Canis lupus familiaris: one gene and its partners. The main gene of each other region encodes a partner of the protein of the gene in region 7 in a complex. Links are inferred from orthologs where the notes say so. Each region holds a gene or a part of one and is shown on either strand. Other genes may lie near its edges.

Region 1 (4,274 bases), on a different chromosome or scaffold from region 7:
TAAATACATAAATCTTTGGGGAAAAAAAAAAAAAACCCAACAACTTAGATCTAGAGTGGTTAGAGCACTGGTCTCACAAAGAACCTTAGAAACCAACTCTCCACTGTTTGCTGTAAATGTTTAATCACTTGCAATTAAAAAGTTTCCATGTGGTTAATATTACGAGCTTTGGAGTCAGATCTGTTTGAATTCCCACTCTAATGCTCATTGGTTATTTGACCTTGGTCAAATTGGTTAACCAATCTAAGTCTGTTTCTTCATCTGTAAACAAACGTATGCTTGACGGGGATGGGAGAACCAAATGGGCCAATGTATGTAAAACCTCTAGAATAGAGACTGGCATAAATAGAAGCAGCTCCTCTCCACCCGGATAGTGGCACAGGGTCTGTCCCAACCAGACAAGGCAACACTGAGATGGGAGAACAAAAAGATAAAGGTGGGTCAGACCACAACACAATTAGGAAATTTCAGGGGAAGTTGCCTAGCCGGGTCATTACATTCTAATGAGGAATAATCTCTTCTGAGTGGTTGTCTGCATCCCTACCATGGAAGACTCACCGTCACCCCGTATTTCAGTGCGAGTCCAGCCAGGGTGTCTCCGGGGGCCAGCTGATGCTCCAGGCGTCTTTCCCTCACCGGGGAGCAGGCTGACTGCACCAGGCTTCCGTAAGAACGAGCCCGGCTCCCCTGTAGCAGTCCTGACCCCCCGAGGGGGGCCTGTCTAGAGGACGAAGCCATCTCCTCACCCCGCCGGCAGCTGGGGTTGCAAGTGAGGGAGGCCTGGCTAAGTGCCGACAGCCACGGGGCTGGGGGCGAGGGACGTCTATCCAGGGGGTTCCTTTCCCCCGTCTCCTCTCACAAACCCCCGTCTGCCCCGGCACTTCGCGCCCCCGCGGCTCTCGTTTGTCCCGCTTCCCAGGCGCCTTCCCACGAATCTGTATCCCGAGGATCCAGTCCCTACCAGAGTCTCTCCTTATTAGCACCCCGCTGACTTTCAACCCTCCCACCACTATGAACTCTGACCTTTGAACCGTAGTTACCCTCCACACTCCGCTCAGCTCGCCCCTCTCCCCCAGGTCAGGCAGCCTCCGCCTCCCAGGTTCCCTTCACACCCCGGCCCCGCCTCGTCCCGGGTTGGTCGGCTTGTGTCAGGAATAAATCCAGCCCCCTCCTGGTGGGCTGTCGGCGGCCAGGGAGGCGCGTGAGGACCGCGAGAGTTTGTACTACACGTTCCACTCAGAGATCTTCCAAGGCCCGCTCCTCAGCAAATCCGTCACGGCCTCAACGTCGGTCTCCACATTTAAGTTCTTGTCTCCCCAGACGCCTCGAATCAGCCAAGATGCAAGGGCCGGGAGCCAGCTGGGTGGCAAGCCCTTTGAAAAAAAGACTTCATTTCCCAAAACGCCCCGCGCCTGCGGGGTCGCCGGGTCGCGTGGGCAGTGCGGTCGGCTCCGCAGGCTGTGGGCGGGCTTTCCGCGAGCGCTGTGCATCTAGGGAAGTAAGGAGGCCAACCGGAAAGAAACCCGACGGGAGAAGACGCCTTACTCTCGCTACGGTGGCCTGAGAGGAGTGGCCGAGGCGGCTCGGGAGAATTGTTCGCTTCTGGAGCTCAGTCGTAATGTCTTTCAAGAGGGAAGGGGATGATTCGAGTCAACTCAATGTGCTCAAAGTAAGCGCGAGAGGGGAGCATCGGGAACAGTTTCACTGCCCCGTGAAGGAGCTGTTTTGTTGCTCTGGCAACAGCTGCGGGGCCGGCGCGACCAGAGCTGGGTAGTGACCCCTTCTTCGCCCAGTGATCTCTGTTCTCATGGTCCTTTTTGCCTTTCAATCTTTGACCCCTCCCTCCTCTCCCACTGGTCCCGTCCGGCTACCCCCTGCAGAAACGGAGAGTCGGGGACCTGCTGGCCAGTTATATCCCAGAGGATGAAGCGCTCATGCTACGGGATGGACGGTGAGGGCGAGGGGTGATCAAGCCCGAGGGTGCTGCGGTTATAGGCTTCGTATAATTTTGTTATCAAGGGGGGAGCGGGAGTATCTAGGATTTTCTGATGGGGGATGAGGGACAGGGATGTGGGTGGTGGAAATTGGGAGACCCTAGAGTTTGGTTTTGGAAAGGGTTGCTAGGTCCAGGTGGAACCAGACCCCACTCACCTGGCACCGAATATCTTCTACCCTCCTCTCCAGCTTCGCTTGTGCTATCTGTCCCCACCGACCTGTACTGGACACCCTGGCCATGCTGACTGCCCACCGTGCAGGCAAGAAACATCTGTCCAGTAAGTGAGGGAAGACAAATCTCTGCAGATCACTCTTGCGGTTTTGTTTTTAATTCTCTTCCCCTCTACCTTCAGGCCTGCAGCTTTTCTATGGCAAGAAGCAGCCAGTAAAGGGAATGGAGCAGAATCCAAGACAGCAGAATGAATTGAGGCAGTCAGAGATCAAGGCTGAGGTAGGTAATCAGGGAGGGGAGGGTGTGTTTTGGGTGGGCCTGCTGCACATCTTAGGCTTGAAGGGCTTCGACTTCTTTCTAGCTCTGAAGACACTGACTGTGTTTCCCATCTCCACACCAGGCTCCTCTGTTAACGCAGACCCGACTTACCACCCAGAGTGCTCTGCACAGAGCTCCTCACTATAACAGTTGCTGCCGCAGGAAGCACAGGTCTGTGGGGTGGGAAAGCCAGAGGTAGGGCGGGTCAGAGGAGATAGATGGCTCTAAGATAAAGGTATTACAAATTGTATTCTCAGGAATATTAATACTCCAGAGATGTTTACTGATATTTCAGAAAAAAAAGAGAATGTTGCTTTTTTTTTTTTTTTTTAAGTTTAGGAAACGGCACTTTGGTTTTTGTTCTAAAGATTTTACTGATTTATTCATGAGAGACAGAGAGAGGCAGAGACATAGGCAGAGGGAGAAGCAGGCTCCCTGTGGAGAGCCCAATGCAGGATTCAATCCCAGGACCCCGGGATCATGACCTGAGCCGAAGGCAGACACTCAACCACTGAGTCACCCAGGTGCCCCAGGAAATGGCACTTTGTGATCCTACTTGAAGAGTAGTAATATTAATATATTCGAAGGGCTCTACAAAGTCTAAAGATTAAAAAAAAAAAACCCTCAAAATGTTATACTAGCCTTTTAAAAATTCATATGATTCCAAAATTCTTTTTTTTATGCAAGACATTTACTAATATCTTGAGGAACACAGTTTAGGAAACACTTCTGTAAGGGATTGGGAGTCATAGGAGAATTGGCCTTTTTCCTTTACTACTTTTATAGACGTTGATTCTTCTCTACCTAGACCAGAAACCCCTCGTCCCTCTGTCTCCCATCCCCCTTTACCACCCCCAGAGGTTGAGCCTGAGAGTGGGAAGATCACTAAGGAACCCATGCCTGGAGCTGGCCCACAGGCCAAGGAGTCAGCAACTGTCTCATCCCCTGTGCCCATGAGCCCCACGAGGAAACGAGCCCTGGATCATTACCTCACCCTTCGAAGGTTTGTATGCAGAATCACTTTCTTCAAGTTTTCTCTTTTCTTTCTGAGTTTTCTTATTTCAATCCTTCTCAATTGTTTTTCTCTTATCCCCATTAACTTCTTAAACCTCTTTTCCTGATTTATTCTATTTTCTGTTATTTGCAGCTCTGGATGGATCCCAGATGGACAAGGTCGATGGGTAAAAGATGAGAATGTTGAGTTTGACTCTGATGAAGAGGAACCTCCTGACCTTTCCTTAGACTGATACCCTCTTTTCCCCCTCAGTTCACAAATAAATTTCAGCAGGCTCCAGGAGTCTAACTTTCTTCAAGTCTACTTCCTTGCCCCATTTCAGGATTTCACTGGTGGATTTTTTTTTTTTTTTTTAAGTAGGCTACACACCCAATGTGGAGCCCAATGTAGAGCTTGAACTCATGACCCTGAGATCAAGACCTGAGCTGAGATCAAGAGTCAAACTCTGATTAACCAACCAAGCCACCCATTTCAGGTGTCCCCCATTTCAGGACAGCCAGGCCCATTCTTCCCTGAAATGTACACAGCTCCCCATACTTCTGACCCCTCCCCCACCTTCAACCAAAGTACTGCCAAGCGTCAGCTGCATGCAGCCCAATGCCCTATTAATAAGTCTGTCAGAAGGAGGTCTTTGCCCTTCATGTTGTCTGCCTTCTTTTTTTTTTTTTTTTTTTTTTTTGTTGTCTGCCTTCTTCCCCACCTTCACTCAAAGTTCTTTCCTCCTTCAGATCACATGAAGTTGTAGTTAGACACCAGGGGCCCTACCCGTATCTG
Region 2 (3,984 bases), on a different chromosome or scaffold from region 7:
GGCCTCTTTCTGCCGTTCAGTCATTTTCCTCCCATTTGCCGCAGGGCCCCTGCACATGTTGTTCTATATGGAACGCTCTGCCTTTCTCCCTTGACCCAAATAATTACAATTCTTCCTTCAGGTATCAGTTCGGGCATCTTTTCCTCACAGAGGCTTTTCTGCTTATTGCAGACACTCATAACATCAGGCACCTCTCCTAGGCAGCACGTATTTTAAAGCTCTTAGTGAGATCACTGTTTAACATGCTTGCCCTCAATATTCAAATATTTGAATTGTTTGTTTGTTTTTAATTTATTTATTCATGAGAGACGGGGGGGGGGGTGCAGAGACACAAGCAGAGGAAGAAGCAGGCTCCATGGAGGGGGCCCGACGTGGGACCATCTTTGGTTCACAATGTATCCTCTCAGGGCTCTTTCCAATAAACACCAGTTGGACAATTAAGGAGACCTAGTTCCCAGATATGATTCCGAATTTCTCCACAGGACTGTGCTCTGGAGAAGCAGCAGTCGGATACTCCTCTCATCCCTGTCTCTCCCAGAGGCACTGAGCAGGCCCTCGTAAAAGGCTGCATGACCAGTGGCAGAAACAAGCCGGCCTCCTCAGTCAGAGAGAGGAGCCTGGTGGAGCTGGGAGACAGGCCCTTCCTCCCTGGGGGCGTTCGGCACAGGCACAGGGCTGGACACGGCAGGCGCTGGACGAACGAGTCGGCGGACGAGGGCCCCGGGCGGCCGCAGAGACCCCAAAGCCCTGCTCCAGCCTAGAAGGGGAACCCAGGCTGCTACGCGCCGACGCTGGGACCCCGGGGCCCGCCTCAGGCCCCTGCAAACCTTCAGCTGAGAAGAGCCAGGCTCACGTCACACAACCGAGGCGCCGTCTCTAGATGCCGCAGCCACCCACCCTCGACCTTCCTTCCACTTACTCTGGGTCAGCTCCCGGTCTCCCGGCCGCAGCATTGCGCGAAACGCCAAAACCAGACAACGCTTCCACCCACAAGACCCAGCGCGCCTAGGTGGGACTCCAGCTCCACCCACCAATCCCAGCACCGCACTCCCGTGACGCCAGAAAGAACTGACCAATAAAAGAAGAGTATTCAGGGAGGCGGTGCAGAGGGGATTGCTGCAGACCGATTGGTTACTCCAAGCCGGAAGTTCTGGGGGAAGAACTAAGTCGGAACCAATCGCGCGCTGCCTGAGGGTGTCGGCGCGGTCAGTGGCGGCGCTGAGGAGAGCGGTTGCCGCCATGATAGAACAGCAAAAGCGCAAAGGCCCGGAGTTGCCACTGGTCCCAGTCAAGCGGCAGCGGCATGAGCTGCTGTTGGGAGCGGCGGGGTCGGGCCCCGGAGCTGGGCAGCAGCAGACGGCGCCGGGAGCTTTGCTACAAGCGGTAAGTGGAGTCGCGGGCGGCCCTCGGGCCTCAGCTCATCTTCCCCTCAGGGAGCCCGCCCCCGGTGATCCCGCAGTGCGGGGTAGGAACGGGAATAGCTGCCTGCAGTTCACACAGGAAACACTGTAAAAGCGGTCGACACCCCCCCTGCCCCCCCGGGACGCTCCGCTCGTTACCTGGTTGGACGCCCGCTTTCAGCGTCTCGACCACCCTGGGAGGTGGCGTTACATTTAGCGTTAAGGACCTTGAAGTCAAAACCCGCACCGGGGCTTTTTCGTATTAAATCTTCCACAGGGACCCAGCGTGGAGTAAACATTCAGAAAACTTTGTAGAACGGCTGAAAAAAATGAATGAATGAATGAATGAATGAATGAGGAGAGAAAGGAAACGAATGAGCCCGGCTTGCTTTGGTCAAGATGCCCGCCCCCCCCCCCCCCCCCCCCATGTCTCAGCACTAGTACTGTTACTAACAACAACGGAACGAGAGCTGACCTTCATTTAATACCTGTCCTAAGGGCTTTGTGTATGAAAACCCCATTAATCTTGGTAACAGCTTAAGAGTTAGGAACTCTCAGTGCCCTGTTTTGTAAGCTCTTAACCCGGTAAGTGATAGGAAACGGTTTTAAAGCCGAATCCATGCTCTTAACTGCATTTCTTGTAAGATGGAGGTAATAACGATCACCCCTCTGCTGGGCTGGTAGGCTCCGATCAAGAAGTAAACGTCTCCACTCTCAACCTCTCCACCAGCCGGTGAGCAAATCCTGCTGGCACACCGTCCTCAAAATAGATGCCAAATTGCTAATCCTTGTGCCACCTCCATCACTCGCCCCTGGTCTAAGCCGTTATTTTTCTCATCTGGCATTATTGTAGTGAGGTCCTAACTGGTATTTCCTGTTTCTATTCTTTTATGGTCCATCTATTCTCAGTCCAGTGGCTAGAGAATCCTGCTAAAGGTCAGCTCGTGTTACCCTCTGCTGAAAACTTTTGATGGCTTTCCATTTCACCCAGGGTTAAATCCTTACAATCCTTAAAATCTTTTGCCCATTTTCCCTTTACCTCTCAGATCTACCAATTTTCCATTACTCCCCCTGCTCCAGTCACACTGGCTTCCATGCTCTTGCCTCAAAGCCTTTGCATTTGCTGCACTCAACTGGAATGCTCTTCAAAATATCCACGTGGTTTACACACTCAGATCCTCCAAATCTTTGTTCAGATATCACTTTTTCAGTAAGGGCCTTCCTGACTACCCTGTTTTAAATTGCAATACCCCATATGTATTAATCCACATCGCTTTTTTTCTTCCGTAGCACATACCAACCTGCTATATGTTTTGTTTTCTCTCTTCGTCTCTTCTCTTCCTCCTTTCCACGGGAACACAAACTCCATTGTTTATTTTGTTCAGTACTGTTTTCCCAACGCCTAAAACAGTGCCTGGCACGTTAATTTTTTTTTTTTTTTAAATAAATGAGTAAACTGAAAGCTATTAAGGATGTTTGGGGATTATCAATAGTGTACCAGGTCTTCTCTCTGACCGGAATGTCAGCCCAGGTTCCAGTGAATTGTCCAAGCCTAGGTTTAGTGTCAAGACCATAGTCAAAACTACTTTCCTGGGTAATATGTACCTTGCAGGGTTGTTGGGAAGCTCAGTTCAGGCATTAATTAAATGTGCTAGAGACTGGGAAAAGTGTTGAATGCAGGGTCCCTGCAGTCACAAAGCTGCTTTTCTACCGGGGAAGAGGACAAAATGTGTAAACCAATACAAAGGAAGGTGATTTCAGGTAGTCTTAAGTGCTGTGAGGAAATACAGTAGGATTAATGGAATACAGAGGGGAGGTGTGATGCTGCTTTGAGTTTGAGTGATCAATGAAAGACTTTCTGAAGAGGAAACATTTGGAAAGAGCTAAACACAGGACGATCAAGGGAAGAGGATTCCGATCAGGAGCAAGAAGTGTAAAGATCCTGAGACAGAAATGAGCTTAGCATATTTGAGCAATTTAAAGTTGGCTATGGGACAGAAGGAGCCTGAGGGAGTAGTCAGTATAACTGGTAGACACTGGACACTTGAGTAGGAGGGTATCAAATTGGAGGCCTAAGTTAATGTGAGAAGAGTTACCATTCTCTAAATCAGGAGAAATCTACTCAATGATTGTTTACCGTGTCTTTTGTAGTCTCCTTTGCCTGTATGTAGTAACTACCCTGTACTTCTGTCTTTTGTTTAGGGACCTCCAAGGTGTTCCTCCCTTCAAGCGCCAATCATGCTTCTCTCAGGACATGAAGGGGAAGTGTACTGCTGCAAGTTTCATCCCAATGGATCCACCTTAGCATCTGCAGGCTTTGATCGACTGATATGTAAGAGATAGTTTTTGAAGTTGGGATAATCACTCTCTGCTAAATAGTGATTATTTTTTAAAACCTTTAGTGCCACAGAGTGTATCAGTCTGGATTATTCGCATTACAAACTGCATAGCTAAAACAGTGTAAGGAGAATGTTGAATGATCTTGAATATAGACCTCAAGATCCATGTGGTAAATACAGAGGAGATTATGTTACTAGTTGAAAAGTGAGTTGCTCTTCTTTGAGAATATCTTCCTCATGGAGGC
Region 3 (4,213 bases), on a different chromosome or scaffold from region 7:
ATGAGTCTGGGTTTATACAATTCTTTCCTGGATGATTAACATGTTAACAGGCCCCAACTAGACAGTTATTATATTGCCATAGATATATTAGAATCTTGTTTACATTTCTATAATTTCATCACCTTTAAAAATAGTATTCTTTTGTATAGTTATCACTATCTATGAGGAAGTTAAAATATGATGTAGGTTCCCAAGTACATATTGCACCATTATAGAATTTCTTTATGAGGCCCACCACCAGTGGCTACTGCTGCAGAAACTCAGTAGGCCAAACTCACTCAAATTCAAACACGATTGTATTTTCAAGTAGAAACATGACCTTAATGTTTTTGATTAATTAAGAATCAATGTACATCCAATGAGATTAGCAATTCACATTGATATACTTTTGATAGGATTTTATTTATTTATTCATGAGAGACACAGAGAGAGAGGCAGAGAAACAGGCAGAGGGAGAAGCAGGCTCCATCCCTGCAGGGAGCCCGATGATCAGGGACCCCAGGGTCACATCCTGGGTCCTGGGCCGAAGCAGATGCTCCCCCACTGAGCCCCCCAGGTGTCCCTCAATAAGACTTCTTCCCTCTCCAAGCCCATGCGGTATGCTGAGATCAGTGGAATTGATTAGCTTAAGGAACAAGCAGGGCCAGTGAAATATTTGCCTATCGGATTTACAAATGTTCAACTCCTGTTTGCATAGAAAAGTAATGGGACAGGCTTGATCGAAAACTGCATTTTACCTAAGACAAGACAATATAAAATACTGCTATTTTGGCACTAGGATGTGTATAAATAAAAGTGGCTCGAGTCTTCAGTTGTGTCTTTCTTCCGCCAGCTTTGAAAAGCTGCCCTTTGATACTGTCGACGCCACCACGTTCATTAGCAGACTGGCTGAAAATCGTGCGGTTTTGAGAGATTTAAAAAAAAAAAAATCTATGCAGCGTAAAAATAAATGTGGGGATTTGCCGTACAGGGCTACAACAAAGATCTTTGCACACTTTCTCAAATGCAAAGTGTTCCGCAACATCCGGCCGCCAAGGGTTAACGGGACAGCATCAGCGCAGGTGCTCTCGGCAGCCGAGGCCGCAGCGCGCGGAGGCTTCCAGGCCGGGCAGCCCCGCGGCGCAGCGGGAGCCGAGACGTCAATCAGGGGAGCTGGACGCGGACCGGGATTCGCTCTCTCCAGACCCTCCCTAGAACGGACTCCTTGGGTTCGCTGGGAAAAAAAATAAAATTAAAGGATTAAGCTTGGGGAGGCACAGCGCAAACAACCACACCCCTGAACCGAACTACTTAAGTCCGAGCCGAAGGCTCTTCCAAGACCTCCTCCGGGACGCCGCTGAGCCCCGCCCACCTCGCCGAGGCCACGCCCCTCTGGAGAAAGCCCCGCCCCTCGATCCCAGAAGGCCGCCGGGCGGCTACCGCGCCTGCGCGGAGGCCCCACTTCCGGCGCCAGGGCGCTCGATTCCGGAAGGGCTGCGCGGCGGCGGCGGCGGCGGCGGCTTCTGTGTTGCGGGCTGGTGTCCCTTGTCTGTTGGAGCGGCGAGTCGCACGGCAGCATCATGGTCGAGGTAAGGTGGCGCTTGGTGCTGAGGGGTCGTTGGCTTCCGCGGTGTTTTTCCTTGGCGGCGGGCGTGGGGGGGTGTTCGCGGTTTGGGGATGGTGAAGGCTGCGGAGGGGGGCTGTCTGGCCGAGGCCGGGTGGTCTCTGAAGGTTTTCAGGGGCAGAGGAAGGCCGGGTGGGAGCCCTGGCTGGACGTTACCCGCGGCCGCGAAGCCCGACTGAGTTTCCACGGTCCGTATTTGGCTCTTGAGCGTCGGGTCTCGGCCGGGCCCCCGGAGGCGCCGCGTCCGGCCCCGCGGGGTCCCCGCCTGCAGAGCAGCGTCAGGGGCTGTGTGTCCTGAGGCGGGCGGTCTTCCTCCAGCTCTGCCCCCAGGAAGACCTGCCATTTTGAAGTTTTGCATCAAACTGTTAGCCAGCCTTGCCCGTCTCATCTCAGAAATACTTCTGGAGCCTTGTCCAGACCCACTGCCTTCGCCTTAATTCAGATCCGGCGTCATCCTTCGTCTGCACGAGTGCCTTAGCTCCCTGCTGGTGTTCTCGCTTCCATTTCTTCGCCCTCTGCAAAATTGATCTGTTTAAGATATACGTTGATCGCGTTTTTTTCTGCTTAAAATCCTTCGCTGGCCAGATGTCACTAGAGCAAAAGTGCAGACTGTTGCAGTGATCCTTTAAAAAAAAAGAATCCTTAACCTAATCTGCACCTTGTCTACCCTTGCAACCTCATCCCAGCCTCACAGTCCACCTTCCAGTGGAACATGCACAGTTCTCTTGCAGCTCCGGCCATCATTGCAGCCACCAAACCCCTGTGTACCTGGCATTTCCTCTCTGCCTGGATTGTTCTCACCTCTGCTCTGCACGAGGCTGAATTTCTGCCTAAGGAATACCTCAGAGAGATCTTTCATAACTATCCTAGGTTCTTTCTTGGCTTGCTTCCTTCATAGCACTTATCAAAGATTTGTTGCTTATTTTTCGTTTTCTCTTGAGCACTGGGACCATGGCTGCCTTGTCATCATTCTTTTGTTAGCTTCTAGCACAGTGCCTGCCAGACACATAGTAGGAACTCAGTAAATACTTGTTCGAATCAATGGCTAAGCTCAGGCATCACTAATTGGTATACCTGGGGCTCTGGCCATTGAGGAGCTTCCTCCTCCTCTCTGACCTTGACTTCTTCTATCGCTTGCTACAAATAGCTGTGGTGAGTGGTACAAAGCTTTTTACATATTTAAATGTGTAAAGTGTATGGCTGCTTTGACTTAATTTAGGTTGTGGTATGTGTCATTTGTAGCTAGATATGTGATTCTGTTCTTTCTTTTTAGGAGGTACAGAAACATTCTGTGCACACACTTGTGTTCAGGTCATTGAAGAGAACCCATGACATGTTTGTAGCTGATAACGGAAAACCTGTGCCTTTGGATGAAGAGAGGTAGGTATTGTTCCTTTTCAGTTACTGGAATATGTAACTTCTAATGTTGGGGGAAGAGAGCAGGGAGAGGGGGACCTTTAAAGCTTAGTGAGTGATACTAACACTCGTAGGATGTCTATTCGGTAATGAATGGTGTTTGGGCATGATTTAAGCTGATTTAACTTTTTTTGGCCTTGTCTTTCACAATAAAAAGTCCCATTAATTAATTGCATTTATAAATACCCAGTAATTAGGAGAGTCCCTTTTAGGTGTTTTATTTTATAATCAATCACTTTGTATGTGCTTTCAGCTTCCCGCTGCTCTCAGAGCCTTGCTGAGCTGAAATTGTACCTGGCCAGTACCTCTACTCCCATCTTTTCTCGTTAGTATGATGAAGATTTTTGAGTGGTGGCATATTTTTGGTTCTACATCTCCAGCTCCAGTCTGGGATTGCATTATGTGCAGTGTTCCTTCTTTGTCCTTTACCCTTCTTTTAAAATCTACTTAATTCCTAAGACAAGCATTTATATTTAATTTATTAAGTGAGCTGTTCTTAAGACTAATATAAGTGCATTTCTTTAAAAAATATTGAACTAATTAACTACTTTGATTAGTTCTAATTGGTCTTTTTAGATACATCCAGTAAAGGTTATGATAGAAGCTTTTACTGTGTTTTTATATTGACACATTTGAAGGAAAGTGTATTGACTGAGGTTTTTAAAAGGATATATTAGTTTCTATATGTTTTTAAATCAGACCCTTGGTAATTTATCATGAAAGGTTATATATTTATTGGTTAACAAATTAAAATGCTACTTAGACTTAATGGATGCTCTGTGGTGGATTGGGAACAAAAAAAGTGTGGAAATGCACTTGGAAATTCCAAGCTTTTTAAAATACTATTTAACTTTAAAAACTTCATAGAATTTTTTCTACATGATTAGGCAAACCTAAGCTATTTAAGTACTTGTGTTCTTGGCTGTCTATATTTCTTTTGGCTAATATATTTAAAGCACTCAAAGATACATTCTTATGTTCATAATTTTTAAATAGTCACAAACGGAAAATGGCAATCAAGCTGCGTAATGAGTATGGTCCTGTGTTGCACATGCCTACTTCGAAAGAAAATTTTAAAGAGAAATGTCCTCAGAATGCATCGGATTCGTATGGTCATAAGCAGTATCCTGCCAATCAAGGTGAGGATGTATTATCAGAAATGTCAGGACTTACATGTGAATTTTCAAAATGAAA
Region 4 (4,003 bases), on a different chromosome or scaffold from region 7:
GGTGTCAGGAAAATGAGACCACTTTACTTGAATTTCCCAGCTCTCACTCAACACACACACACACACACACACACACACACACACAGAGGCAATGAGCCTGCCAGTGAGAGGACAGGGCTAGAATGGGAAGAGGATCTCAGAGCTAGTGGCAGAGATGGGAAGAGAAACTGAATTGATGGGTCAGGATAGAGAGAGATGGAAGCTACACAAGCAGGGAACATCTGCTCATCCCTCCCTCAGGTGCACAGGCGGTTGCTGGTGCTGCTGGTGCTGTTGGGGCAAGGAAGGCAGCGTCGACTCTGCCAGTAGGCTGGTGGGGATAAGGGGAGAAAAAGTCCTGAGCTCATTTTTGGGACTAAAAAAGATGCATCCTGTCGCCCGAAAGATCGTTTCGTTTGTTTTCCCCATTAATCATTACTGAGCGCCTCTTGAACGCCAGGTGCTGCCGGACAGTAAAAAGACCAGGTCCCCTGTGCACGTTCTTGGGGAGGTGGGGCAAAGGGGCAAGAAAGAGTTTAAAACAAATGGTAGATGTTTGTACGTGTTACGGGAACTCCAAGGAAGGAAAGGAAAGCGGGAGAAAGGCTAGCGGAGACATCTGAGCCGGCCTGATAGGTGGAAAAAGGGGCTTTAGTGTGGCCCTTCCCCCCAGGTCGGCAGCTGGAGCTCAGCCCGCTCCCCTCCTGGCTCCGATCCTCTTTCAGCCCATTCATCCATGCGTGGGCCGGGGGTGGGCGGGCAGACAATCAGATACTGTTTTATCACAGGCATCGGCTGCAACCTCCCGCTTGGCGCCCACAACGCGCGGCCGCTGGCAGAATGAGTCCTTCAGGCCTCCCTGAGGAACGAAAGCGTCCGGGCCTCTCACGCCTGAGCTGAAAGTCTGGTCGGAAGGCTGGAGATCTGCGCTCCGGCGAGGCAGACGCAGAAAGGACGCCTTTCTGGCGGGACCATCTTGCCCCGCAGCCCCGCCCCTGCTCCAGCCTCCAGTGTTGCCGGTGCTTCAGCCCGGCACTGTGCTCCGGGAGCCGGACCCGCAGAGAACGGGACCTGCGTACTACAACTCCCAGAAGGCTTCGCGGCCTGGCATCCTGGGGACGCTTGGAGATCCGCAGGGTCTGGGCCGCAATGTGAACCGCCTGCCAATCCTCCAGCGGACGTGGCGTACGGCGCTGCCGGAAGTTCCGGCAAGTGGGCCCCAGGTCCGGTCCGGACTTCCGCGTTGGTCGCGCGCCTTCCTGCGGCTAAGATGGCGGCCGAGCATCCCGAGCCTCCCAAAGGAGAGTTGCAGCTGCCGCCGCCGCCACCTCCCGGTCACTATGGCGCTTGGGCTGCCCAGGAGCTTCAGGCCAAATTGGCGGAGATTGGAGCTCCGATCCAGGGTGAGGAGCTCGGGAGGTCAAGGGCCGGGGCAGCGTAGGCCCAGGGAGAAGCGGAGCCTGGTTACCCCGGAGACCCGGGGGGCGGAGGGAGGGGCGGAGGCGGACCGCTGGGGCCTGGCTTGGTCCCGCAGGCCTGCTCGGCCTGACTTACCCCGTTGATCTTGTGCTTTGCCCATCAGGGAGTCGCGAGGAGCTGGTGGAGCGGCTGCAGACCTACACGCGCCAGGTAAGTGTTGGCGGGACGTCAGGATAGGCCGAGTTTCTGAAGGCCTCAATGAGCCCTCAGGACTCGGTCTTAGCTTTTTATGTACCTTGCTGTTTCTGCTTGTTTTTTTACATTACCTGACCAGTTGTAAACATTTCTGTATATATAGGTCTTCTGCAGTGCCTAGCGCAAGCTCTGGCAAATGGGCAGTTGGTAAATTTTGTTGAATGAATGGGAGCAATGACGTTTTGTGGAACAGCTCCTCTTGGACTGACCTGGAGTCCTTTCTCTTTTGCAGACAGGCATCGTGCTGAATCGCCCAGTTCTGAGAGGTGAAGATGGGGACAAAGCTGCTCCCCCTCCCATGTCCGCACAGGTAAGGAGGTGGTTCTACTTTATAAGATGACTTCTGTTCAGGGCAGCTCCTCTCACAGTCAGTGTTTTGGGGATGCCACTAACAGATTGGACAGGGAGAAATGGGAGCTCTTCAGTTCCCCTTTAGTCCTGATCCTTACCTCCTTACCCAGTGTCTGCTTCTCCAAATACTACCTGTCATTTAAGGTTTAGCTTAAGTAATTTAGAAGCCTGACTTGATTCTCCTTCAGCTGGAAATAGCTCTTTTTTGCCTTACCAGGCACAGTTCTCATTTTGTTCAGTGAGACATTATGGCTCACTCTCTTATTTTATTTCATACCTTTTATATTTAGTGAGCCATTGGGACACACTGGCTCCAGTTTATTTAAGTCTTCTTAACTTCCATTTCCTTTCTGAGCCAGGATTTGAATTTTTCTCTAGGACAAGACTCTGATCTGGGATCTATTGACTTCTGTGGGTGGGAGGAGGAGTTCCCAGGTGGCCATTAGAGGTGTCCTTGGATTTCCTGAAATTGTATGCACAATCTGTGTTCATGGTTTTCTGGGGAGAGAGTCAATAGCTTTCCTTGGTTGGTACCCCAAAGTTAGTATTCTCTTCTATCGGTATTATATTTTTTTGAATGCAGGAATTGTCACTTGACTTTGAATTTTAGTACCTGGCTCATAGTACCTGCAAATGTCTGCAGTAGATAAACGGTTCCTAGTGTATGTTGACTTTTTTTCCACAGCTTTCTGGGATTCCCATGCCACCACCACCCATGGGACTCCCCCCTCTGCAACCACCTCCACCACCCCCACCACCTCCACCAGGCCTTGGCCTTGGCTTTCCTATGGCAGTTGGTCCCCGCCCACCAAACTTGGGGCCACCTCCTCCTCTCCGCGTGGGTGAGCCTGTGGCTCTGTCAGAGGAGGAGCGGCTGAAGCTGGCGCAGCAACAGGCAGCATTGCTGATGCAGCAAGAGGAGCGTGCCAAACAGGTAGGGGAGGTGGCAGGTTGGGCATAGGTCTCATCAGGGTCCTAAAGAGGATTGAAGCCTTAGAGAAAGCTGGATCCTGGGGCCAAGCCTTCTGGGAAGTCTGGACCAACGACTGGAACATAGACCCCAGGCTGAAAGAGGACCCCCAGAAGCAGTGTTGTGGCAGCCTGGCCTGAGGGGTAGTGGTGCTGATGTGAGTTTGTTTTCTTTTTTAAGCAGGGAGATCATTCACTGAAGGAACATGAGCTTTTGGAGCAGCAGAAGCGGGTAATTCCCTCCATTGGCTGTCACTTCTAGTACTAGTGTCCAAAACAAGATGCTCCATTCAAGTTTTCCATGGAGGTTACCTCATCCTTAAGTTCCAGTATCTCCCAGATAATCCCATCTTTTCTGGAGCCCAGATTGGTAAACTACAGACTGTGACCTGATTTTGTATGGCCTGCAAGTTAAGAATGGTGTTTCTAACTTTGGAGGATTGTTAGGAAAAAAAAAATTGGCAAACCAAGAACATACTGCAACCCTTGCAATGGCCCATAAAGTCTAAGATATCTGTTGTTTAGCCCATTACTGAAAAAGTCTGATAATTCGTATTAGTCTTATATGATTTTAGATACCTATGAGAGGACTCTGGATTAGTCAATTGTGTGGGATTTAGACTAAATGTGATAGAGGTAGTTAGAGAATAATACATGAGACATGCAGTCCCAGAGGTGCACTCTATCAGTTGTTCCCTGCTGCATTACTGGAGATATTGAAAGTAAGCATTAACAGGAATAGATATGAAATTATGAAGTGCTGATTTTGCCTAGAATGTGTTAGATCTTTTTTTTTTTTAATTTTTTTTTTTTTAATTTAGTTATGATAGTCACACACAGAGAGAGAGGCAGAGACACAGGCAGAGGGAGAAGCAGGCTCCATGCACTGGGAGCCCGACATGGGATTCGATCCTGGGTCTCCAGGATCGCGCCCTGGGCCAAAGGCAGGTGCCAAACCGCTGCGCCACCCAGGGATCCCTAGAATGTGTTAGATCTTAAGGAGCAGATAAAAGAATTCATTGTTCCTTAG
Region 5 (4,138 bases), on a different chromosome or scaffold from region 7:
AGCGCCCGGCCTGGGAGCCAGGGGTTGAGCAGAGAGGGGTTGAGCCAAGGTCAACCTCCAAGGGGCATTAAGAGCCGAGGCAGAGAGAGGGAAACGGGAAGGGGACACAGAGACACTCAAGGACACAGAAGGAGAGGCGGAGACAGCAGGATTTAGAGAGGGAAAGAGAGTGAGAGGCAGAGGGGAGGGCAGAGAAAAGCCATGAGAACGGAGCAACACGCCGGGGAGACTGCGGAGAGAGAGCCCTGGCAGGAGAGGTTGGCCCAAGAGGAAACCGAGGAGAGACAAATGACGGCAAGAGAGACAAAGGCAGGCTGGGGGGGCTCTCCAGGGGATCCTTATGCCCCCCCATGCCACAGCCCCCAAGGGCACCTGTGATGGCGTGCTGGGAGAAGGCCTCCACGTAGACGAGGTAGTTGTGGGGACAGTGCTTCTTGAGCCACTTGCACACGTCCTGCTGACTCCACAGGACCACAGGCCGCGTCAGGCCGCCCAGGGAGGGACTCGTGTGGTACAGGCCATAGTGGTCAGAGTACATCCGGCCCTGCGGGGGAGACGGGTGCCGGGTGCGGTGAGGTGGTGGGAGGGCAGGGGCTGAGGGGGGACGGCGGGTGGGTACCTGGGGGGCCTCTGTGCCAGGCTGCTGCAGGAGCTTGACCGGCCGGCCACCAGCGGCCCTCTGGCTACGGGAGTCGTGCCATGTGAGGCTGGTGCCTGGCGTCCGAGGCAGGTGGCAGGGGATGCTCTCAGCGGACACCGTGTGCTCCAGGAGGGTTCGGCAGAAGCTGAAGTGTGCAGTGGCTGCGGGGCATGGGCGCCTGGTCAGGGCGGTCAGGGCCGGGGCCAGAGGATCGTCTCTCTGCAAACCAACTCCCTGCTCAACCCATCTTCCCTTGAACACGAGGCCCCTTTTCCCAATCGGGGGGCCCCAAGCCCCCAGGGACAGGAAGGAAGTGCGCAAGAACGGTCCTGCGTAGCCCGCCCAGCCCAAAGCTGATGGCCTGGGAGCATCCTTCCTCTTCTGGGCGCACTGGCCGTGCTCTGGGGAGCACGAGGGGTTCCGCATAGGTTCGAGAGACAGTGTGCCCACCGGGGAGCCTAAGGTTCACAGTCTGGTGAGGAGCTACCCTGAGACAGGCCTCGTCTCACCCTCGCTCTAGGCTGACGCACGCTGAGCCAGACCAGGGCACGCTGCGGCCCCTCTGTCCTGGGAGGCCCTGCGTCACGGCGTCCCCGAGAATGCTGCCTGCCATCGCCACTGACGGCACCCCAACTCTGCAGCCATACCTGGCGTTTGAGACGTGGCTCCTGCCGTGCGGTGCTCACCTGCCAACCCCTCGGCGGGAAGCCTGAATGAACTGCAGGCAAGCCACCCCGGGAACCCTGCTCTGCCACCTGTCGCAGGGCCCTTGGCCCAGGACAGCTCCCGTGGGTGGGCATCCAGCGGACATGGGCTGCTCAGCACAGGTGTGCAGGGGCCAGCCATGAGCTCGGGGAGCCACGGGGACACCTGGCGCTTTCTTTCCACAGACTTCATTACACTCCTCAAGTTTTAGTTTCGCTGTCCTTCCTGGGCTCGTTGCTCACATAGGTCACGGGAGGGCAGACACCCTAACAATGGCCTCCTGACCCTTGCACAGGTCTGGGCACACAGCAGGTGCCCAGGAACACTGTGGCTGGCTGGCTGGGTGGATGGAGAAAGGCTCTGTGTGGTGTCCACAGCCAGTAGAGCCCTGGGGAGAGACAGGAAGCTGGGCCCAGGCTCGCCTTCATCTTTACAGCACCTAGGCCCCAACTCGGCAGGCAGAAGCAGGTTCTCGGCCAGGGCCCTCGCCTCCCTGGCTCTCAGCCCTAGAATGAGAGACCCTGCCTTCCATGGACACAACCCAGTGCCCCCAGCTGAGGGCAGGGAGGGGTTGGCTGTGTGCCCAGGAGTTCTCAGCCATGGGGAAAACCCATCACTTCCCCCTTCTAGCCCTTCAGATTCCTCCGATTCAGCACGCCGTCTTCATACTTGCAACTTTTCGGAATTGGATGACCCCAGGTGACTCTAAATTTGAGGTCCAGGATCAAATAGAGGGTGTGCCTGGTGCGGTCCCTGCCTGGATGAGGTTTCTGATATCACGGAAAAAGACTTATTCTAAGCTGGCATCTTTCAGGGCACAGGTTCCAGAGCCACTCGGCCTCGCCTTGCAGGGCCTGGCGGAGTGGGCTGGCCGGGTCAGGGGCAGAGGCAGAGGCAGGGGCAGGGGCAGGAGCAGGGGCAGCGGCAGGTTCAGGGGCAGGAGCAGAGGCAGGAGCAGGGGCAGGGGCAGGGGGCAGGGGGCAGGAGCAGGAGGCAGGGGGCAGGAGCAGGGACAGGGGGCAGGAGCAGGAACAGGGGCAGGAACAGGGGAAGGAGGCAGGGGCAGGAACAGGGGCAGGAGCAGGAGCAGGGGCAGGAACAGGGGCAGGGGCAGGAGCAGAGGCAGAGGCAGGAGCAGAGGCAGGGGCGGGGGCAGGAGCAGAGGCAGGGGCAGGAGCAGAGGCAGGAGCAGGGGGAGGGGAGGAGCAGGGGCAGGAGCAGGAACAAGGGCAGAGGCAGGGGCAGGAACAGGGGCAGGGGCAGGAGCGTGAAGCTCTGGCCGAGGTGGGCGTCGCCGCGGCGCTGCACCTGTCGGGGTCCAGCGGGCCCCGCCCATTTGCTGCCCAGGCTAGGGGAACGATCTGCGTCTTTCTGTCTGTCCGCCCGTCGTTCCGTCCCTCCCTCTTAGCCCCAACGTCAGAATTCCACCATGAAACGGGGCCGGGGGCGTCCAAGCCCAGCTGTGGCCTCGGCTCCTGTCGGCCCCACGGCGGAGCAGGGGAGGGAAGGGCGCGCAAAGGGAAAGGTGACCGCGGGGTGGGCCAGCGGGGGGCAGGAGCCCCAGCCGTAACCTCCTCCAAGCCAAGGGTGCGCTGATGCCCCGGCCCGAGGCCACCCCCCATCAGGACAAAGGCACCAGGGACCCCGATCGGCCAGGATGCGGCCCCCCTCGGCTCAAGCCGCCGCCCGCCCGCGCCGTGGTCAGCCCTGCTCACCGTCCACATCCCGGCGCTCCCCGAAGCCGGCGCGCACAGCCCCGGCGCGGCCTCGCGGGGGGCTCAGCTTGGTCCTCAGCTCCGTGAACATGGGGCCCAGGGATCCGGGCCGCGCACACGCCCCTCGCCGGGCGCCAGGCGGCCGTGTGGCCGGCGGGGAACGCGCGCCGCCTGCCCGCCCCGCCCGCCCCGCCCGCCCCGCGCCCGAGCCGGTCCCCGCGCCCGCCGGGCGAGTCTGCGCGGCGAGGCACCTGCTCCCGAGCCCGAGCCCGGGGCCGGGCGCGCTCGGGAGCTCCGCGGTCTAGCGGCGGCGCGCAGCTCTGCTCTGCAAAGGGAGCCTGCGGGGGTCCGGGCGACCTTGCAACCTGGCGGTGGCTTCCAGGACGAGCGCCTGCACCTCCCGGGGGGCCCACCCCCCGGGGGCCTCTGAGGCGGGGAAAGGAGGAAGCCAAGGTCCCGGCGGGAGGGCGCGGGCCGGAGGCGGACATCCTCCCTGGTCCTGGGATGGTCGGTCCACCGAGGCCCAGGTGGAGGGCCAGACCGACCCCTCCATTTCTCACTCCTTTATCCTCGCCTTCTCCAGAGATCTCTCCCTCAAGGGGCACTTGCTCCCCTAGGAGCCTCCCTTAACCCACCGCAGGGGACTCCAGGAAGACAGCCGGGCAGCACCTGTCCCCTTCCCTACGCAGCCCCAGGATCTGGCCCGGGGCTCAGGGGGTGCCGCTGAAGGCGGTTTCGCGGGGCATGGGGAGGACAGAGCCGCTCCAAGGAGGCCGCTGCAGGGAAGAGGGATGCGTCTGTTCCAGGCCTCCCTGGGAAGTGCTAGGGTGGGCTGGGGGCCGCCGGGGTCAGAAGGCCAGACTTGCTACCCACCAAGTTGAGCCTGCACCGCCAGGGGTCTGGGCGCTCTCCCCAGGCGTATGCGGGTGCCAGAGGACGCCCACGGCACCACGAGCAAAGGCGCACTCGGAGATAGAGTCGTCGTGCATGTCCACCTAAAACATGGGCCCAGGTGATGACTGGTACCCAAGCCCAGCACCACGCCCAAGGAGAGATTTGCATGGAATTCACCCCCGAG
Region 6 (3,986 bases), on a different chromosome or scaffold from region 7:
TCTCCCAATTGTTTACTTACAGTTCATAAGCACAAATTCCTTTAGGTCTTAACCCAGGAACTGTCCTCACTTTATCTTCAAATGAGAAAGTTACATTCTGGTTTTGAAATCAATTACTTGCAAGCTAAAGGCAGTGCTTTAAAAAAAAAAAAAGCTTTAAAAATAAACATAATCTTAGGAAATAAAAGTCAATTATATTTACTCAGAGCTTCTTTAGAAAGAATCAGATATAACCTTCATTGTTCCTTGGAATGTCGCCCAGCACAAGTTACTTAATCCATTTCTGACATGTTTCCTCACCTGTAAAATGGAGATAATAGTACCTACCTCACAAGATTGGCCCTAAGATTAATCATGGTAACTTTTGGGTATTGGCATTAGCTTTATCCTTTCACTACTCATTTAAACAAAGAGATCTCTCAAGAAAAAGGAGGAGGAGGAGGAAGAAGAGGAAGAAGAGGAAGAAGAAGAAGAAGAAGAAGAAGAAGAAGAAGAAGAAGAAGAAGAAGAAGAAGAAGAAGAAAGCGATGTCTACTCAACGACTAATATTCATTTCCAGCAAATACAAAGGGATCTTTCAAGTAGCCAAGCGCAAGAAATTTCTCTGGAAAATTAATATTTCATTCATTTGGCATCAGATAAATCTGGGTTGGAAATGGCTCTTCTACCCTCTGTCTCACTGTGGGAGTGAAAGTCACAGTTGTAGTACTTAACCCTTCTTTATATCGATTTGCTCCCCTACAGAACCAGGATAATACCACTTACTTCAAAGAGTTGGTGTAAAAACTAAACGAGGAAACATACGTGATATGTCTACCAGGGGTTTAAGAGCTCAACTAAATGAAGTGGATTTCTTGTAGACAATTAAAAATATAGAGAGAGAGAGCTCAATAAATGGTAATTACAATAACACTGTTCATTAATTCAAAAGATATCCAAGGATCCCTTACTACTGCAGATGCATAAAGCTTAATAATCCTCAGTGTTTACCCTGGCCTTAGGAGAGAGAACAGAGGGAAACACGCAGAAACACTTCAGGACCACTTCTGCAAGGAACTAAACTTCACCGTCTCCTTACACCACCCGAGCCTTAAGTCTGGGACAACCGGCCGGCTTCCTCAAGCGCAATTACACTGCCTAAGCTCCGCCCCCTTAGACTCCGCACTTAAGGTCTGCGCCTGCGCCGTGACCTGCACTTGGCGCATGCGCCAAAGGGGGACTGGCGGGATTAAAAACCATGGCGTGGATGCCAGCAGAATCCGCAGTGGAAGAGTTGATGCCCAGGCTGTTGCCAGTGGAACCGTGCGACTTGACAGAGAGTTTTGATCCCTCCGTCCCACCGAGGACGCCTCAGGAATACCTGAGGCGGGTCCAGTGAGTGATTTGGCCCCGTGCGGGTGGGCTGGTCGTCCGCTCTGCCCCCGGGCACAGCTCGACCCCTACCTACGTGTGATAAAGCCCCGCCTCAGTGGCCGTTCCCTCTTTCACGCGAGGTAGGGTCGAATCAAGATCACTTGATGACATCTTTACCTGGGCGAGTTTTTATGAATGTAATTCTGTTTACCTGTGTCAAGATGTGTGCTTTTGGATTTCCTTGCTTTCCAGTTAGTTTCGGAAATAACCTTGTGTAGTACGTGCATTGCGCTTCCTTTTTTTTTTTTTTTTTTTCTGATTTCGTGAAGAACTGTAGAATGGATCGCTCGTTTTACTGCACAGGAACAAAGCACAGCCGTAATCACATTTCTTGCATTTATTACTTATTTGTAGGATCGAAGCAGCTCAATGTCCAGATGTTGTGGTAGCTCAGATTGACCCAAAGAAGTTGAAAAGGAAGCAAAGTGTGAATGTTTCTGTGAGTTTTATGACCCAGCAGGGGATTCTCCCCTTCCTCCCCCTCTCCCCTCGACCAAATGGAAAGCTCAGTGGCCTTCCTGTGGTATCCTGTAGTATCTTTATGATTTATGTAAGATTGGACTACTTCCTGAGACATTGAACATTAGCTTGGACTTTTAACCCTCAAAAGGACAGTTGGCATTTACTGCCCCCAGAGCAGTTTCCAGTAACCCTGGCATTCGTGGAGACTCCTCATACTTCAGGGCTGTGATCCAATTCTAAAGGACTCTAAATAGGTTACTTACGTTATTCTTTATTTTTAAGGAACCTTTTTCCAGTCTTGTTCATAATTATTCTTGGATTGGTGTTTAATGCTATTTAGTGCAATATTGCATGTTCTGAATTTGGGCTTTGTTTTTTTAAGAATAGAAACTCAGGTGTCTTACATTTTTCTAGTTACTTGCACACACACCTTGAATATTTTTTGTGAAGTGACTAGGTTGTGCCAGGCCCTGGGATTACAATAGAAAATGAGGCACAAAAATCCCTACCCTGGCAGAGTTTACATTCTCCTGAGGAATACAGAGTAAACAAGCAAACAAAGTAATTATATATTATGACTTTTTTTTTTTTGAGATTTTATTCATTTATTCATGAGAGACACAGAGAAGAGAGGTAGAGACGCAGGCAGAGGGAGAAGCTGGCTCCTTACAGGGAGCCAGATGTAGGACTCGATCCCAGGACCCCAGGATCAAGACCTGAATGAAAGGCAGACACTCAACCACTGAGCCACCTAGGCACATCTATATTGACTTGATATGAAGAAAATTAACCTGTATATGACCAATAAGTAACAAGGTTACTTGTTTACAATTGTACTGTTGACAATTAAAATTGTCACAGAAAGTCTCTCTAAGGACATATTATTTAACCTAGGGTCAAAGGAGAGCAGCAGTTTTTAAATTGTGATAGGTCCTTTTCCTCTTATGAAATTTTAATTCAGATGCTATAATGTTTCACATATTTTCAGAAATTTTTAGTTGATGGATGAGAATATCTTATCTACCTAGCTTTTAAAAAACACACTATTATTTCAAGGCAATATGTATTTCAAGGCAGTATTTTGACCTATTGTGCTGTCTTAGGAAGCTGAAGTAGCCTTTGTAAAGTCAAATGTCTTAGATTATTTGAGTACATTCTGCCAATACCAAATTCTTTATGTGGGTTATGTCTCCTCATTTCAAATAATTGTCTTCTTATAGAAAGGTAGGACTAAATTATGTCTTCAGGGCTCATATAATTTAGATTTCTTAGTTTAGAAACTCCAAATATGAACCATTCCAGATTGCTCTTATTGAAGTGACCCCACAAGGATCTTTTCCTAATGTTCAAACTTGGACATAAATAGTAAAGTGAAAGGCCTACTTTTTGGCATCTGCAGAGTACAGTATCTTTCTTAGATAGCCTTAATCATTTACTTTATTACTCTTCATCTTGGTTGTGCTTTTACTTTGCAGAGGAATGACGTTCTAGTTATAACACTAACATCGATTCTAATATTTATGAACTGATCTCTAGCTTTCAGGATGCCAACCTGCTCCTGAAGGATATTCTCCCACACTTCAGTGGCAACAACAACAAGTGGCACAGTTTTCATCTGTTCGACAGGTGAGCGTACTTTAATCATTTTATCAAATTAAACCCCTTCCATTAGAAAGACAGTTCTAATTTTACTCATATGGAATATAAGAAACAGTGCAGAGGATCATAGGGGAAGGGAGGGAAAACTGATTGGGAAGTAATCAGAAAGGGAAACAAGCCATGAGAGATTCTTAACTATAGGAAACAAACGGAGGGTTGCTGAAGGGGAGGGGGAGGATGAGGTAATAGGGTGGTGGGCTTTAAACAGGGCCTATGATGTGATGAGCACTGGGTATTGTATGCAGCTAATGAATTCCTGAACTCTACATCTGAAACTAATGATGTAATATATGTTGACTAATTGAATTTTAAATAAAAATTAAACCCCTCTCTCCCTCAAGAATTATTTCTGTTCTTAGACTGTAGTTGGAAAAATAAGATTCATTATACTTTTTTTTAGATTTATTTATTTGAGAGAGCGAAAGTGCATGCAAGCAGGCAGGCATATGAGT
Region 7 (3,500 bases):
TTTAAGGCTTCAAAATCTGTATTTATTTTGCTATAAAATATTTATGTGTTGAGGAATATCTTGAACACCTAAGTATGATGCTTAATATTAAAACAACACTCCTTATTGTCTCAAATATAAAATAAAATAGCTATTGAATTGGATATGGTTTGATTATCTTCTAATTTCCTTACAACTTTGGTTTTGGTACTAACCAAAATATATAAACAAATCTTTGTTTTTAAGAAAATAATAAAATCAGAAATTAGGTCAGTCTTGAACAAGAATGTTTTTGTAATTCACATCATAAAGACTTAGTTTGGTGTACATTAATGTACTCTAAATCTATTCCATTTTTATTATCTTGCCCCTTTCTAAATTACATTGTACAAGAGCTAAATGAGGTACCGTATTCTCTCCTCTCACCATCGTACAAATTTTTTATTAAGTTTCATTATTTTTATTGTGCAATTTTAGCAAATCGTATTGATTGTACCTACTATTATGCTTACTTAGACTTAATTTTTTTAAATCAGTCATGTAATTTGTACCCCTTTTGCTTTTTCAGATTTATGGACAAGAAATTATCATGTAAGTTTCTCTGGTTTTTTGTTTTTTAATTAGTTGCTTTCTACATGTGTCTTGGCAGTATATAACGTTTGGAGCACCTTCATAAGAATTTAAATCATACAGAACCTCTAATTCACATCCATTAATCAGGTTTATCAAAAACTATATGCAATTTTATTTACCTAATTTCTGATATGTAACAGATTGCACACATACTGTAGACTTTTCATTATTTTCTATAAGCCTTCCCTCACGTAGACAAAATTAATGGGATTTTCCTATTTTGTGATATTCGAAAGTATATCACCCTTTTTTATCTTTTAAAGCACAGGACTTTGACCAAGGCTAAAAATCTGACCTGTACAGTACCTGAAATATATAGGGGTTAAGACCCAGGCTTCAGAGTAAGCATCCTTCCCTTTAAATCCAGCCCTAGCCCACAGTACCTGTATAACCTTGAACCAGTTTCTTAAGAAGCTCTATACTTCAGTTCCCTTGTGAAAAGTTAGAATAATTCTATTTGACAGGATTTTTGTAAGTTTATTTTAGTTTTTACCCCCTTTTTTTTTTCTGATTTTAATTCCAAAATAGTTAACATACAGTGTTGTATTAGTTTCAGGTTTACAATATAGCGATTCAGCAGGTCCATACAACAGCTGGTGCTCATCACAACACTGCACTCTTTATTCCCCATCCCCCCCACTTGGGTTTTTATGTTTAAATATGGAAGTAAATGTGAAATGTTTAGTCCACTGCTTGGCATATAGTAAGGATAGAAGCTTATATATCTCAAGTACCTGAGTTTTATTCCACCTGATTCTCAATAGTTGATACTTAATGCTCAGTTTTATTAAACTACTTTTTCCCTTTTTATAGTGAAATTAAATGGTGGCAGACATGTCCAAGGAATATTGCGAGGGTTCGATCCATTCATGAATCTTGTGATAGATGAATGTGTGGAGATGGCAACTAGCGGGCAACAGAACAATATTGGAATGGTGGTAAGTAAGGGTGGAAGGTTTCTCTTAGAGATTTCATATTTTGAAATAAGGATTAACTTCCCTTCTATTAAATTCTTGTCTTAAATTGAAATTAGATTGGGCAGCCCAGATGGCTCAGCAGTTTAGCGCCGCCTTCGGCCCAGGGGCATGATCCTGGAGACCCGGGATCAAGTCCCACGTCAGGCTCCCTGCATGGAGCCTGCTTCTCCCCGCTCCTGTATCTCTGCCTCTCTCTCTCTCTCTGTCTCTCATGAATAAATAAATAAAATCTTAAAAAAAAAAATGGGCAGATAAGCAGATAGATTTTCCATCTCCCTTTTACTTTAAAATATGGCAGCCGTTCAACTCTGGTAGCATCCCAGTTACCAGTAGGTTAGATCTGAATCCTATGCAGAATCCTCTGAAATAGCTGTACAAAGTATTTTTGAGCTTTATAATAGAGGTCCATAGTCAGTCCTTCATTATGCTCAATTTTAACATGCTTAGGAGTTCCCAGAAGATCTTACTAAAATGCAGATCCCATCTAACTATGTGGGATGCAAATCTGCTAGTCCACCTTTATACCTTTCGATTTTAGGTGTGTGTATAATTAACCCAGATTTTCTGGGTTTTCTGCAAATTTAAAAGTGGCCAAAGTAAAAAAATAAATAAATAAATAAAAATAAAAAAATAAAAGTGGCCAAAGTAAAAGTTTCAAGGGATGATCGCAGGGGTAGCCATTGATGTGAAAGAAAAAAGCAAATGCTGGGTTAATTATAGGAGCAAACATTTCTATATTCATTAGACCACGGTGGTATGACTACTGAGAAAGGTTTTGATGTTTATCAACAAGACGCAGGCTTTGAATCCCATTCTGACCACCAGAGGACAATATGCCCAGTAAGTTAGTAAATCCCAAGTTTCTTGGGAAACATAAATCAAAAAGGACAACTTGGCATTAGCAAATCACTGAGCATAAAGACCTCTAAAAGATGGTAAGAGTTCCTAATTCTTAGCCTTGATTTTTTTTTTTTACCTCACAATTTTTAATTACTCTTTCCAAAGTGTATGTTATTGCTTCTTTCAAACGCATTTTCATCTGAAAAGCAAATCAGTGATCTGGGCTGCAAAATCCAGTGATTCCAGTGATCTTGGAATCAATCCCTAGATATGAGATTCCCCTCCCCCAAGTTTTATGCAAATTGACCTTCCTTTCTCCTTGAGTTCCTTCTCCTTTCTCCTTGAGAAAATGAAAAAACTATAGGTAAATCAGTATCAGCCAGTTTGTTCTAAAGATGGTTTCTAAATACCCACCCCCAGTATTTCTCTCTAGCCTTTCCTATTACAAATTCAGTAATTTTCATTGTAAGAGAGGGTAGACTGGATTTTTAGTTTATATATCAACAGACTTTGCTAAAGATTGAAGAAGGACTTTGATAACCAAAAGTCAGTTCTAATTTGAGAAGATAACTTCAGAGAATTACGTGACACTTTTTGGAATTTTGTCTGAGAAGCAACTGATCCTAAATCATGGGTTTTTCTTGAAATTTCCCCCCTAAATTTTATTGGGCTTGTTCTTTACACAGAAATTGGTTATGGGCACCTTCTTACTACGTTAGGCGGTTGGCTCTTCCACCTCTGATGCTTGTTGTGTGACCAAAAAAATTTTGTGTTAGTAGGCAGTAGTCCTTGCAGCTGAGTTAACACTTTGAAAATGAAATAATGGGGGGCTGCCTAGGTGGCTCAGTCAGTTAAGCATTTGGCTCAGGTCATGATCTCAGGGTCAAGAGATCAAGCCCCACCTCAGCTGCCCAGCTGAGCAAGAACTCTTACTTCCGTCCCTCTGCCTGTCCACCTGCGCACTTGAGCTCACGCTCTCGCACACGCTCTCTCTCTCTCTCTAATAAATATTTAAAGAAAATGAAACTGGTAACGTATCAATTATCCTGAATAAAAAGACTTTTTGAGAGA

The links.
Region 1: SNRPG (region 7) and SCNM1 share a complex: the UniProt entries of both Homo sapiens proteins name them as parts of the minor spliceosome. The link is inferred for Canis lupus familiaris from reciprocal best matches to the Homo sapiens genes SNRPG and SCNM1.
Region 2: SNRPG (region 7) and SNRNP40 share a complex: the UniProt entries of both Homo sapiens proteins name them as parts of the U4/U6-U5 tri-snRNP complex. The link is inferred for Canis lupus familiaris from reciprocal best matches to the Homo sapiens genes SNRPG and SNRNP40.
Region 3: SNRPG (region 7) and PLRG1 share a complex: the UniProt entries of both Homo sapiens proteins name them as parts of the minor spliceosome. The link is inferred for Canis lupus familiaris from reciprocal best matches to the Homo sapiens genes SNRPG and PLRG1.
Region 4: SNRPG (region 7) and SF3B2 share a complex: the UniProt entries of both Homo sapiens proteins name them as parts of the minor spliceosome. The link is inferred for Canis lupus familiaris from reciprocal best matches to the Homo sapiens genes SNRPG and SF3B2.
Region 5: SNRPG (region 7) and PRPF6 share a complex: the UniProt entries of both Homo sapiens proteins name them as parts of the U4/U6-U5 tri-snRNP complex. The link is inferred for Canis lupus familiaris from reciprocal best matches to the Homo sapiens genes SNRPG and PRPF6.
Region 6: SNRPG (region 7) and GEMIN2 share a complex: the UniProt entries of both Homo sapiens proteins name them as parts of the SMN-Sm complex. The link is inferred for Canis lupus familiaris from reciprocal best matches to the Homo sapiens genes SNRPG and GEMIN2.

What each region holds. Positions count from the first base shown.
Region 1 is NC_049238.1:60,887,477-60,891,750, forward strand, and holds SCNM1 (sodium channel modifier 1), read left to right. Parts: upstream 1-1,474; 5' UTR 1,475-1,618; coding exon 1,619-1,669; intron 1,670-1,880; coding exon 1,881-1,951; intron 1,952-2,184; coding exon 2,185-2,273; intron 2,274-2,348; coding exon 2,349-2,446; intron 2,447-2,567; coding exon 2,568-2,656; intron 2,657-3,293; coding exon 3,294-3,488; coding exon of another isoform or gene 3,489-3,632; coding exon 3,633-3,732; 3' UTR 3,733-3,793; downstream 3,794-4,274. Other genes in the region: LYSMD1 (lysM and putative peptidoglycan-binding domain-containing protein 1), read right to left, coding at 559-738; TMOD4 (tropomodulin-4), read right to left, coding at 3,471-3,634. UniProt on the Homo sapiens protein: As a component of the minor spliceosome, involved in the splicing of U12-type introns in pre-mRNAs. Plays a role in the regulation of primary cilia length and Hedgehog signaling.
Region 2 is NC_049223.1:69,116,397-69,120,380, forward strand, and holds the start of SNRNP40 (U5 small nuclear ribonucleoprotein 40 kDa protein), read left to right. Parts: upstream 1-1,184; 5' UTR 1,185-1,239; coding exon 1,240-1,383; intron 1,384-1,559; exon of another isoform or gene 1,560-1,698; intron 1,699-3,602; coding exon 3,603-3,732; intron 3,733-3,984. UniProt on the Homo sapiens protein: Required for pre-mRNA splicing as component of the activated spliceosome. Component of the U5 small nuclear ribonucleoprotein (snRNP) complex and the U4/U6-U5 tri-snRNP complex, building blocks of the spliceosome.
Region 3 is NC_049236.1:52,571,453-52,575,665, reverse strand, and holds the start of PLRG1 (pleiotropic regulator 1), read left to right. Parts: upstream 1-1,413; 5' UTR 1,414-1,559; coding exon 1,560-1,568; intron 1,569-2,876; coding exon 2,877-2,983; intron 2,984-3,272; exon of another isoform or gene 3,273-3,344; intron 3,345-4,015; coding exon 4,016-4,158; intron 4,159-4,213. UniProt on the Homo sapiens protein: Involved in pre-mRNA splicing as component of the spliceosome. Component of the PRP19-CDC5L complex that forms an integral part of the spliceosome and is required for activating pre-mRNA splicing.
Region 4 is NC_049239.1:51,712,201-51,716,203, reverse strand, and holds the start of SF3B2 (splicing factor 3B subunit 2), read left to right. Parts: upstream 1-1,203; 5' UTR 1,204-1,249; coding exon 1,250-1,382; intron 1,383-1,561; coding exon 1,562-1,608; intron 1,609-1,885; coding exon 1,886-1,963; intron 1,964-2,689; coding exon 2,690-2,938; intron 2,939-3,154; coding exon 3,155-3,205; intron 3,206-4,003. UniProt on the Homo sapiens protein: Component of the 17S U2 SnRNP complex of the spliceosome, a large ribonucleoprotein complex that removes introns from transcribed pre-mRNAs.
Region 5 is NC_049245.1:48,284,676-48,288,813, forward strand, and holds the start of PRPF6 (pre-mRNA-processing factor 6), read left to right. Parts: upstream 1-1,338; 5' UTR 1,339-1,353; coding exon 1,354-1,364; exon of another isoform or gene 1,365-1,975; coding exon 1,976-2,044; exon of another isoform or gene 2,045-2,252; intron 2,253-3,060; coding exon of another isoform or gene 3,061-3,151; exon of another isoform or gene 3,152-3,219; intron 3,220-4,138. Other genes in the region: SAMD10 (sterile alpha motif domain-containing protein 10), read right to left, coding at 1-10, 373-544, 620-1,066. UniProt on the Homo sapiens protein: Involved in pre-mRNA splicing as component of the U4/U6-U5 tri-snRNP complex, one of the building blocks of the spliceosome.
Region 6 is NC_049229.1:17,472,816-17,476,801, forward strand, and holds the start of GEMIN2 (gem-associated protein 2), read left to right. Parts: upstream 1-1,186; 5' UTR 1,187-1,237; coding exon 1,238-1,374; intron 1,375-1,767; coding exon 1,768-1,852; intron 1,853-3,411; coding exon 3,412-3,501; intron 3,502-3,986. UniProt on the Homo sapiens protein: The SMN complex catalyzes the assembly of small nuclear ribonucleoproteins (snRNPs), the building blocks of the spliceosome, and thereby plays an important role in the splicing of cellular pre-mRNAs.
Region 7 is NC_049231.1:70,131,345-70,134,844, reverse strand, and holds part of SNRPG (small nuclear ribonucleoprotein G), read left to right. Parts: intron 1-547; coding exon 548-570; intron 571-1,425; coding exon 1,426-1,550; intron 1,551-3,500. UniProt on the Homo sapiens protein: Plays a role in pre-mRNA splicing as a core component of the spliceosomal U1, U2, U4 and U5 small nuclear ribonucleoproteins (snRNPs), the building blocks of the spliceosome.